2 linked regions of the Callithrix jacchus genome follow. The protein of the gene in region 1 purifies or fractionates together with the protein of each later gene. This does not show direct contact. Links are inferred from orthologs where the notes say so. Each region holds a gene or a part of one and is shown in the gene's direction. Other genes may lie near its edges.

Region 1 (6,465 bases):
AGGGGCTGGTGTTCGCCACAGAGCAGGCACCCTGGGAAGCCCTGAGGGGCCCCAGCTCATCCAGTGCCTGCTTCTCTCAACCTCTTTGGAAATCTGAACAGATTGGCAGCAACCGCCTCCACACAAAGCCTTGTCAAAGTATAACTTCAAATACATACAAAGAAAAATAGTAATGATTCATATATAGAATGAACACCCATCAAAGATCAATTACACATCAGTTCAGAAGTGTTCGGGAACTCTGAATCATGTATGATTCTGAGAATCTGGGTACATGTATTTCATGTATTTGTAAGTTTTTTTTTGTTTTTTTGTTTTTTGAGACAGGGTCTCATTCTGCCACCCAGACTGGAGTGCAGTGGTGCAATCATAGCTCACTGCAGCCTCGACGTCCTGGGCTCAAGAGATCCTATTGCTTCAGCCTTCTAAGTAAACAGAACTACAGGCACATACTACTATGCGCAGCTGATTTTTAAAATTTGTAGTAGAGACAAGATCTCGCTCTATTGCCCAGGCTAGTGTCAAACTCCTGGGCTCAAGCAATCCTCCCTCCTCAGCCTCCCAAAGAGCTAGGACTGCAGATATGAGCCACTGTGCCTGGCCAGTAAGCATTTTAAGAGAAGCAACCCAGACAAAGATTGTGATGTTAGATACGAACCAGTTAATGAAGTTTTCTTTTCTATGGGATAGAAACTGCAAGTTAATAAGTAACTTCAGTGTCTGGGCTGTAATCAAACAAGCAGGAAAGTCAACACAGCCACAATCCCTGAGATTAGGATCAGCAAACGTTTTCTGTAAAGGACCAGGCATGCAGCTCTGAGTCACAACCACTCTGCCACGTAGCACAAAAGCAACTACAGCCAACGTGTAACAAATCAGCATGGCGTGTGTGGCTGGGGTGGAGCTCATGCCTATAATCCCAGCACTTTGGGAGGCCAAGGTGAGAAGATCACTTGAGGCCAGGGGTTTGAGACCAGCTTGGGCAACAAAGTTGGACCCCCCCCCCCCCATCTCTACAAAAAGTAAAAAAAAAATAAATAAATAACTGGGTGCTGTGGTGTCTGCCTGTGGTCTTAGCTATTGGGGAGGCTGAGGCAGGAGGACTTGACCTCGTGGGAGGCCTGCCTCAGCCTCCCACCGTGGTGGGATTGAGCCCAGGAGCTTGAGGCTGTAGTGAGCTATGATGTCGACACTGCACTGCAGCCTGGGCGACAGAGCTGGTGTCACACCACTGCACTCCAGCCTGGGTGACAGAGCTGGTATCACACCACTGCACTCCAGCCTGGGCGACAGAGCTGGTATCACACCACTGCACTCCAGCCTGGGCGACAGAGCTGATATCACACCACTGCACTCCAGCCTGGGCGACAGAGCTGATATCACACCACTGCACTCCAGCCTGAAGACAGAGCTGATATCACACCACTGCACTCCAGCCTGGGCGACAGAGCTGGTATCACACCACTGCACTCCAGCCTGGGCGACAGAGCTGATATCACACCACTGCACTCCAGCCTGGGCGACAGAGTAAGACTCCGTCTCAAGGAGGGCCTTTATGCTAAACTGTAGTCTGCAAAACAGCCAAACCAAAAGGTAAGATAGACTTATCCACCAAGTGCAGTGGCTCAATCTTAGCCCTTTGGGAGGCTGAGATGAGAGAATTGCTGGAAGCCAGGAGTTCAAGACCAGCCTGGGCAACACAGCAAGACCCCAACTCTTAAAAGAAAACTAGCTAGGTGTGATGGCACGTGCCTGCAAGTCCTAGCTACTTGAAAGGCTGAAGTGGATCTCCGGAGCCCGGGAGTTGGAGGCTGCATTGAGCTATGATGGCACCACTGCACTCCAGCCTGGGCGACAGAGTGAGCCACTGTCTCTAAATGATAATAATATATAAAAAGATTTACATAACCCTCCGAGCTCCCTCTCACTGCTGTATACACCCGCCTCCTTCCCCATCCGTCACCCAACTGTCCCTCCCTTCTAACAAGCCAGTGGCATCCCAGCCAGGGGTCTCACAGCAGTCGGTGTAGGCAGCCTCGGCAGGGGGCTTAGCACAGATCTGCCTCTGGCCACGAGACCTTCCTCAGCTCCCCTCACGGCTGCCAGCCGCAGCTGCCCATTCCCCTTAGCTCTATTCTCTCTATTCAGGGGCCTCCTGCTGTGCACTCCAAGGGGGTGCACGGTTGCAAAGCGAGATCAAGGGTCGTGGGGAGCAGAGAGGCACAGCTTGGGGTTTCCACTCAGTCAGGATTAGGAGATCTCTGGAGGGGCAGAGCAGCCCTCCCGGCGCTCTGAGCATGCGCCAAAAAGCGCCCACGTTGAAAGCCACGAGGGGGTGAGGGGGTGGGAGTTGGGGGGGTGGGGCTTCCATACTGACGCAGGCGCAGAGGTACTGGCCTCGCTCGGGCTTTTCTCGCTCCTGCGCAAGATCCTCCAGCCCAATAGGGGGCGATGAGCTGGTCCCTACGCTAGTTTGACCCGCCAGAGTAATCCGGAAGAAGCCTCTTACTAGGGCTTCGGAGGCGGCGGCAGCGGACGCTTAGGGTCTGGACGCGGCAGTGGTGGCGGCGGCGGCGGCGGCGGCGGCGGCGGCGGCAGGAGTATGAACGCCCCTCCAGCCTTCGAGTCGTTCTTGCTCTTCGAAGGCGAGAAGAAGTAAGTGACGCCAGCTGGGAGGAGCCGAGGTTTGCGGGGCTGCGACTGTCGCATTCCGGGGGCGTTTCCTGCCCATGTCTTGCTCCGGGAGGGAAGCAGCTTTTGCCTGATAGTCCGCACGGCCTGTGTCGGCCAAATTTAAGCCAGTTCCGGGAGGCAGTGGCGAGTGTGTCCATTTGGCAGATGAGGACACTGAGGCTCGGAGGAGCAAGTTGCCCCAGACACGGAGGAGGTGGCGGGGCTTGTATTCGAACCCAGAGTGTCTGGCTCTCCATAGCCCTCTTCCTCTGGGACGTGGCAGCCTCCTCTCTTGTCTTCCGCCCGCCGCCTCCATCCCCCGTGTCCTTTGATTTGCCAACGGCCTGTGTAAAAGCCGCAGTGGCTTCTTGCTGCCTGCTGGTTGAAGGAGTCCCCGGGAGAGACAGCTTGGGCTTGGCCCCTGGGTCCCCCACTTAGCGACTGTATCTGTACGAGTGCCGTGATCTTTTGGAGGCCCTGTTTCCTTTTCTGGAAAATGGATTTGTTACTTTTCATTTTTTTCGAAACGGAGTTTTGCTCCTGTTGCCCAGGCTGGAGTGCAATGGCGCGATTTCGGCTCACTGCAACCTCCACCTCCCAGGTGCAAGCAATTCTCCTGCCTCAGCTTCCTGAGTAGCTGGAATTACAAGCATGCGCCACCACGCCCGGCTAATTTCTTATTTTTGGTAGAGACGCGGTTTCTCTATATTAGCCTGTGTGGTCTCGAACTCCCAATCTCAGCTGATGCTCCTGCCTCGGCCTCCCAGAGTGCAGGCATTACAGGCGTGAGTGACGGCCTCCGGTCTATTACTGTTCTTAAACATGGGATTTGGCCAGGTGCGCTGGCTCACGCGTTTAATCCCATCACTTTGGGAGGCTGGCTTGAGCACAGGAGTTGCAGGCTCCAGTGAGCTGTGATCGCATCACTGCACTCCAGCCTGGGCGACAGAGTGAGATCTTGTCTCAAAAAGAATTGGATGAGGTAATTTGTGTCAAGCACTTGGTCTAAAGCTCGGCACCTGGAAGACCTCATAACCACTGGCTCTTACTGTTCCCAGGTTGGCGTGCAGAGGTCTTGGTCTGGCCCTTGCCGGCCAGTTTGGCCTTTTTTTTTTTTTTTGGACAGTCTCACTCTGTCCACCCAGGCTGGAGTGCAATGGTGTGATCTCACGGCAACCTCCACCTCCATGTCCCAGGTTCAAGTGATTTTCCTGCCTCAGCCTCCTGAATAGCTGGGATTACAGGCATGCACCATCACATCCGGCTAATTGTGTGTTTTTAGTAGAGACCGGGTTTCTCCATGTTGGTCAGGCTGGTCTCAAACTCCCAACCTCAGGTGATCTGCCCGTCTCTGCCTCCCAAAGTGCTGGGATTACAGGTGTGAGCCAGTGCACCGGGCTTGGCCTCATTTTAGAGCAGACTCTCAGCTGGGGACCATTTGGCAATAATTGGGGACATTTATGGTGTCAAAGGGGGTTATGACTGGAATCTACTGGATAGAGGTCAGGGTGCTGCTGCTGTCCAGCAAGATAGCACCCCACAGGAAAGAATCATGCAGCCTAAAACGTCTGTGGTGTCAACATGGAGAAACTACCTTAGAAAAAAGGGGCAGTCAGGCACAGTGGCTCACGCCTGTAATCCCAGCACTTTGGGAGGCTCAGGCAGTTGGATCACGAGGTCAGGCGTTCAAGACCAGCCTGGCCAACATGGTGAAATCCCGTCTCTGCTAAAAATGCAAAAAAAAAAAAAAAAAAGCCGAGCATGGTGGCACACGCCTGTAACCCCAGCTGCTCAGGAGGCTGAGGCAGAATTACTTGAACTGGGGAGGCAGAGGTTGAAGTGAGTCGAGATTGTGCCACTACACTCCAGCCTGGGCAACAGAGCAAGACTCCATCTCAAAAGAAAAAAAGGAGCAGGCTAGGCATGGTGGCATGCGCCTGTGGTCCCAGCTACTCAGGAGGCTAAGGCTGGAGGCTACAGTGAGCTGTGATCACACCACTGCACTCCAGCCTGGGCAGCAGGAGGGATCACTTGAGGCAAGTTCAAGACCAACCAGGACGACAAAGCAAAACCTCATCTCTTCTAAAAGAGAGGGAGAGGAAAGACAAGAGGAGGAACTCCGAGAAGGGCCAAGGTTCCACAGACCTGGGGTAGGGAATCAGGCTGGAGAGGTCTTTATGGGAGGAAGAGATTGAGAAAGGTCTTCAGGAGGAGGCAGAGCTTTTCATTTTTATTTTTTTGAGACAGTCTTGCTCTGTTGCCTAGGCTGGAGTGCAGTGGCGCAATCTTGGCTCACTTCAACCTCCTCCCAGGTTCAAGTGATTCTCCTGCCTCAGCCTCCCAAGTAGCTGAGAACACAAGCATGGACCACCACACCCAGTTTGGGTTTTATTTTTAGTAGACAAAGTTTCACCATGTTGGCCAGGCTGGTCTGGAACTCCTGACTTCAGGTCATCCATCTACCTCAGCCTCCCAAAGGGTGGGGATTACAGACATGAACCACTGCACCTGGTCCGAAGGAGGCAGGGTTTAGACTTGGGGTGGGCGGAGGGGAGCCCCTGTCCCTCATCTGTGGCCTCTGTGTCTTCCTAGGATCACCATTAACAAGGACACCAAGGTACCCAATGCCTGTTTGTTCACCATCAACAAAGAAGACCACACACTGGGAAACATCATTAAATCGTAAGTTTCCCGTCAAAGGCTCTCAGGGGCTATGTTTAATAGGCGCCTCTGGGCAAAACAGAAGTTTTAAGATTTTCCTCCATCTCTCAGCTACAGGAAGTCCTTCTGGGGGCTTGCTCTGGGCATTTGGTAATGTTGGTACTTTATCAAAATGACGCTGACCTTCATGTCTTCACATAAGCTACGCTTCTGTAGTGGCTTATTCTGTAGACAAACGTGCATTTACTTTTTTTTTTTTTTGGGAGTTTTTGCTCGTTGCCCAGGCTAGAGTGCAGTGGCGCAATTTTGGCTCACTGCAACTTCTGCCTCCCAGATTCAAGCGATTCTCCTGCTGGGACTGGCCACCATGACCTGCTAATTTTTGTGTTCTCAGTAGAGGCGGGGTTTCACTATGTTGGCTAGACTGGTCTTGAACTCCTGACCTCAGGTGATTCACCTGCCTTGGCTTCTCAAAGTACTGGGATTACAGGCATGAGCCACGCACCCAGCCTTCCATTCACTGTTAAGTGCACGTTCTGTGAGTGAGTGAGAGCAGGTTCCAGCAGAGTAGGCCTGTGTGTTCATGGGCTGAGGGGCACTGAGCAGCAGTCAAGATTAGCTCCCCCAATGCCACCCCTATTTGTGACCTCAGTGCCACCTGGCACGCTTAAGATGTATGTGGCAGAGATGAGAACTTGTGTTTAACAAGGGAAAGAGGTAGGGGAGTTCTGTGGTTGTCCAGTGCCAGACAGGTGCCTGGCCTTGGTTCATGGGTGTTCCTTTACACCACTGAAGTCCTAGCTAGGTGGTTGATTAGGAATGTGACTGTCATTTCACTTGTAGACTTGGCTCTTCCCTCTGGTGCCATCAGTGAAGCCAGGCTTTTCCCAGGCTGTGAGAGGTGTGCCCAGGCACAGGGATGGAGGACTCCTCCCCGGAGTCCAGCCAGTGCAGCCCCTATGCTCTCCTCCAGCCCAGTGTTGCCAGCTGTGCACGGGTGTCCTTTGTGGTGCTCACAGGAGACCCTGCGTGCCCAGGGCACAGCACACAATGCTGCCCAGAGCCTGGGCCCTCCTCTCCTTGCTGCCTTTATTTGCTGTGGGATGTTCTTTTTGGGTCCGATTCATTGAA
Region 2 (5,774 bases), on another chromosome or scaffold:
GGGATTGAGAGGACAGGGATGGGTAAAAAAGAGACAGGATTGAATGTTAGGAAAGGATCCTGACATCTTAACCGGTTATACTCTGTGGTTTATCTAACCAGACAAGGAGCCTCAAAACCAGAAGTTGTTCTCTGTTATTGCCATCTCTTATCTTTATTCCTTGCAAGGAACTTTCAAAAGTGTGAAAACTGGTAGACAGCAATTTAAACAGACAAACCAGGTTAAATGTACAGTGGCACGGAACAGGTTTGTAATGTTTGATCAGTTGTGACTTAGTATATGGGTTGGTTGAGTTTCTAGTTGCCCCCTCAAGAATGATGTGAACTGAGAGGTAACTCTAATATGTTGAATGCTTAAGTTTATAAAATGAATACTTAATATCCAGAGGACCACATGTAGCCTGACCAAGATTTTTGTCTTAAATCCATTAAGATAGCCGACATTAATATGATACTGCATAATTGGTTCTGACCATAAGTTTCCTACACCATTGTAATATGGATGCCACAAGGTATGATGCTTCTGAATGTAATTGTACTACACTGAGTGATTCAAGTTTAATTCTAGTAAAATATAAGAATAGTATAAAAGATTATATTCAACACTGTTTTCCTTATGTATAATCTTGAGTCATATTCAGTACTACTATGCTGTTGAACATTGTAACCAGTAAAAATATACCTCGAAATCTTGTCCACTTAATTAGAGAAATTACTACACCCACAGAACATAGTGAGTAGCGGAATAATTTTGTCACAATGAATTCAGTTTAAAGTTAATGACCATGTAATCTAAAGAAGGAAACATCCAAATTGTGCCCATTTACTCTTCCTAACAGTTAATCTGTTAGCTTGGCAAATATTTATTGCACAAACAAAAAATATGTAATTGATTAAGGGGACATCTCTTGCAACCTGTTTTACATTTCATGCTCTTTTGTTTCACAACAGCTTAATAATGATTTTGAATTAACATGGCTATTAAAACAGTCCTAAATTCAATGTAGGATTTAGGGTGCCATCTTAATAACGTGACCAATCATCATTTTATTTTAAATGACTATATTTCATATAGTTTGTAATAGTTTTACTGAAATTTAATACAGGATAGAGTAAACAAGATGCATTTATACATAGACATTAGTCTTTCTGGTGAGTTTAGCAGCAGTGACTTTGGTTAGTTTGGTAATAAAATGAGAGAATAGGGTTGAACTTGATGCATGAAGTTCAGTAGGGTTATTTTAGTTCTCAAAATGCTTAATTCAGTTATTGAGAAAATTTGTCCAAGCGAAGATGTTTTAAGTAGATTTTTAACTTTTTCTTATTTTTCAGCCAAACCAAACAGGAAGCTTACTTTTCTCTACCTAGCCAATGATGTCATACAGAACAGCAAAAGGAAGGGGCCGGAGTTTACAAAAGATTTTGCACCAGTTATAGTGGAGGCTTTTAAGCATGTTTCAAGGTATGATCATTGTTTTGGGTGTTAAGTAATCTGTTTTAAATGTACCATATGACCTTTTGCTTAATTTGCCTTAAGCTATTAAAATAAAGAGCAGGGAATATAGTTCTTTGATACTTTTATTTGAAAAGGCTTCCCTCTAAATTTGTAAATCTATTAAATGCCTTCTATGAAGGAAAAATATTTTTTGAACTGTTGCTAAGGTGGGCATTTGGTGTACTTGAATTATAGCTTTCCTTTAAGAGATCAGAATCAACTGCTATATTGGAATGAACTTCATTAAAAATGAATGAAGGTATTGAATTAAAAATTTGTGTGTTTATAAAGCTATCAGTCTTGTAACTAATATTTCCATATACACTAGTACTTTTTCTATTTTTCTTTCTTTTACTTTTTTTGAGACAGAGTCTCACTCTGCCCAGGCTGGAGTGCAGTGGTGCAATCTCAGCTCACTGCAACCTCTGCTGCCCGGGTTCAAGCAATTCTCCTACCTTGACCTCCTGAGTAGCTGGGATTACAGGTGCCTGCCACTGCACCTAGCTAATTTTTGTGTTTCTAGTAGAGACAGGTTTTCATCATCTTGGCCAGGCTGATCTTGAACTCCTGACCTCATGAGGCACCACGTCGGCCTGTTTATTCTTTACCTGCCCTCTGGGTGGTTTTGTACCCTGCATGTATTTGGTTATTCTCCATGCTTTAATGATTTATAGTTTTATGCTCCAGTCCAGATTTTTTGTTGTTGTTCCAAAGCTATGTGCCCAACTGCCTTTTGACATTTTTACTTGTATGCAACTCAGACATCTCAGACTCACTGTGTCCAATATGAACTCCTTATGTCTTTGCTTCCTGCCATACTTGCTTCTCCCCCAGGTTTTACTCTATGAATGGCAACTCTATCTATCCAGATGCCTATGCAAGAAATTCCGTTATTTTCAACCTCTTCTTTCTCTTTTACTCCACGTATCTTGTATGATACACATTGACTCAATTCTTTGGATTTCTTTCCCTTTTAGTTATCATAATGTCTTTTGGATTAATTGCAATAGCCTTTAGTACTGTTTAATTTCTTTAGAAAACTAGACAGAGTTGCAGAGCTGGTCATACTTCCTTGCCTTTGAGTGGTTCCCATTTGTTTTAGAGATGAAGTCTAAAGTCCTGAGCAAGACTTAAGATGTTCCTTTGTGGCACTGCCTATCTCCCCAGACTCCTGTCTCACATTTATTCCCCACAGTCTGTAGTTTACCGTTTAAACTAAATTAACCTTTTTTAGTTCTTTCTGCCATAAGGCTTCTATATATGTTGCCCCTCCCTAGAATTCAATAAAATATTTGTTGGCTGCCTGCTATATGCAAAACCCTGAGTAATAGTGAACAAGACAAAGTTCTCTTCTGCTGGAGCCTAAATTTCAGTGGATGACAAAGGTAGTAAGTACATAGACAAGTGAATGCATATATAGTATCATGTCAGATGACAAATGCTAGCAAGAAATACAAAGCAGGGAAGGAACTAGATGGTATGAGGGTGCTCAGTTATGTGATGAGATAAAGAACAGCTATTTGGGGAAGGTGGCTTTTGAACAAAGACTTAATGGAAGGGATGAAATGAGCCATTTGACTAAGTGGAAAGGATTCTAGGCAGAATATGTGGCTGAAAAATGAGATTGCTATGTGCCTGGGCATGTTTGAGGACCTTAGCAAGAAGATTTGTACGGAAAAAGGTATTAGGTAGTGTGTACTGAGGGATTGCCAGGAGGCAGAGCATGTGGGCCTTATGGCCCAGAGTAAGGACTTTGATTTTATTCTTGATATGATTGGTAGCTCTTGGAGACTCGAGAGCTGTATAATCTGATTTATATTATTAGGATGCTTTGTACAGAACAGAGTAAAAGAAGAGACTGGGAGATCCATGACAAGACTTTAGAAGAATCCAAGCAAGAGATAATAGTGTTTCAGTCTACAATGATAGGGATGAATGAGGTAGGAAACGGTTGGGAGTAGTCTGTTTTTCATTTCCCCATATGCCCAGTCTTTAGATCTCAAATTAAATATCATTTCCTTAAATACTCTTCCAGATATCTCTTAAACTGGGCCAGGTCTGTCTTAAGCACTTTGTTCTCTTTGGTGATACTTATAAATAACAGCTGCCATAAGCTGCATTTACATCTCCATATCAAAGATAGTAACTAGATCAACAAATATTTGTGGAATAAATTTAAAAATTGCCTATTAGAAGTCTTCTGTAGCCTCACGTCCAGCCCCCATTAGGTTAGGAAATCCCTAGTAGCCTGTACTAAAACTTTTATAGCCTAAACTTTTTTTGGTTGTTTAATAATATGTTCATAAAATGTTTACTGGAAGCAAGCAGTGTGTCTTGATGACCTAACTCTTGAACTGCTGGCCACAATAGTGGTGCTAAGTAGACATTTGGACAGTTTTCTTCAGGGAATTAATGTCTGATTGTATTTAAAGTTACCATTACCTTTTCAATAGCACTATGCATTTTTACTGTTAATATTTTTCTTTTTCTTTAGTGAAACTGATGAAAGTTGTAAGAAACACCTTGGAAGAGTGTTGTCTATTTGGGAGGAAAGGTCTGTTTATGAAAATGATGTATTAGAACAACTTAAACAAGCTCTGTGTAAGTGTAGAATCCTAATCTCTTATCTTGATCTCTTCATTAAAATGTATTCTTTCATTCAAACTTAAATGTTCTTTCATTTCAGATGGCGATAAGAAGCCTAGGAAGCGAACTTACGAACAGATAAAGGTGGATGAAAATGAAAACTGTTCCTCTCTGGGATCTCCAAGTGAACCACCACAGGTAGAAGTTTTACCCTGTTAAACTAGTTAGAAACTTTTACTTTACTTTACGCCTCCAAACTTTATTAATTTCGTTTCACTTCTGTAAATTGATTTTTTTATTATGCTTTTGGATACAAGAAAGCCACATGCATATCTCTTATTTGCTCAACAAATTAATTATTTTAAATGTAATATGTTGTATATTGTATATTTTGTATAGAAATCATATTTTGCATAGAACGAGGATTTTTAGTAGCTAAGTATGGTTACATGTGGTGAGATTTCAGCTATTTAAACAGATTGTTTCTTTTTTTTTTTTTTTTTTTTTGAGACGGAATCTTGTTCTGTCACCAGGCTGGAGGGCAGTGGCACGATCTCAGCTCATCGCAGCCTCTGCCTCCAGGTTCAAATGATTCTCCCACCTCAGCCTCCTGAGTAGCTGGGACTACAGGCATGCACTACCACACCCACCTAATTTTTGTATTTTTTTTTTTAGTGGAGACGGTTTCACCATGTTGGCCAGGATGGTCTTGATCTCTTGACCTTGTGATCCACCCTCCTCTGCCTCCCAAAGTGCTGGGATTATAGGCGTGAGCCACCGTGCCTGGCCCAGACTCTTTTTAAAATAAAATATGACATGCCTATTTTGTTATGGATATATATTTTTTGAGATGGAGTTTCACTCTGTCTCCCAGGCTGGAGTGCAATGGCATGATCTCAGCTGACTGCAGCCTCTGCCTCCCAGGTTCAAGTGATTCTCTTGCCTTGGCCTCCTGAGTATCTGGGATCACAAGTGTGTGCCACCATGCCTGGCTAATTTTTGTATTTTTAGTAGAGATGGGATTTCACCATGTTGGCCAGGCTGATCTCAGATTCCTGGCCTCAAGCAATTCTCCCACCTTGGCCTCCCAAAGTTCTGAGATTACAGGCATGAGCCACTGCATCCGGACCATATATGATTTAAATACACAAAAATTTTCATTCTTGGGCATAAACACTGCCACCTTAACTATTTTTGTTTTTAAATATAAAAACTTGTGTTAGAGTGATAAATATGTATTCATACATTTGTCTGTAACTATATAGAATTTTGTAGTCCTATGGAAAAGTAAGGTAAGTTAGAATCATTATCTTAATACTTCATGTCCTCTTACATTGGTACAGTATGGCATTGCTTTAAGCATCAGATGAATTCCATAAAGACTTTTTTTTTTAATTAAGTGGGCATTGAGTCTTTAAGTTTCCCCCTTCTATGTTTCAAACATGTAGGGGGGACAGATAAAGTGTAAAATGAGAAAATGAAGACATAACCATACTCTTGAAACAAGGTGAATGTATTTTCATGGGCTGGAAATTGTACACATAACTTCACATGTAAGACAGAATCTGGCTTCTGCTGAATCCTGGTCTAGAAGCAGACATGGGATTGCCAGAAATTAGTATTCTTTAGGGTAACAGGAGCTCCCAGTGCTCTGTAGGAGTTAACAGGACTAGACCCAAATTCGTTGAATAAAA

What was found. The genes of interacting proteins can lie anywhere in the genome.
Region 2: the proteins of POLR2J (region 1) and RPRD1A purify together in Homo sapiens (affinity purification with mass spectrometry; 3 studies listed by BioGRID and IntAct, with this or other methods). This does not show direct contact. The link is inferred for Callithrix jacchus from reciprocal best matches to the Homo sapiens genes POLR2J and RPRD1A.

Annotation. Positions count from the first base shown.
Region 1 is NC_133503.1:11,371,127-11,377,591, forward strand, and holds the start of POLR2J (DNA-directed RNA polymerase II subunit RPB11-a), read left to right. Parts: upstream 1-2,530; 5' UTR 2,531-2,602; coding exon 2,603-2,655; intron 2,656-5,265; coding exon 5,266-5,355; intron 5,356-6,465. UniProt on the Homo sapiens protein: Core component of RNA polymerase II (Pol II), a DNA-dependent RNA polymerase which synthesizes mRNA precursors and many functional non-coding RNAs using the four ribonucleoside triphosphates as substrates.
Region 2 is NC_133514.1:79,115,537-79,121,310, reverse strand, and holds part of RPRD1A (regulation of nuclear pre-mRNA domain-containing protein 1A), read left to right. Parts: intron 1-1,331; coding exon 1,332-1,461; intron 1,462-3,988; coding exon 3,989-4,095; intron 4,096-4,180; coding exon 4,181-4,278; intron 4,279-5,774. UniProt on the Homo sapiens protein: Interacts with phosphorylated C-terminal heptapeptide repeat domain (CTD) of the largest RNA polymerase II subunit POLR2A, and participates in dephosphorylation of the CTD by RPAP2.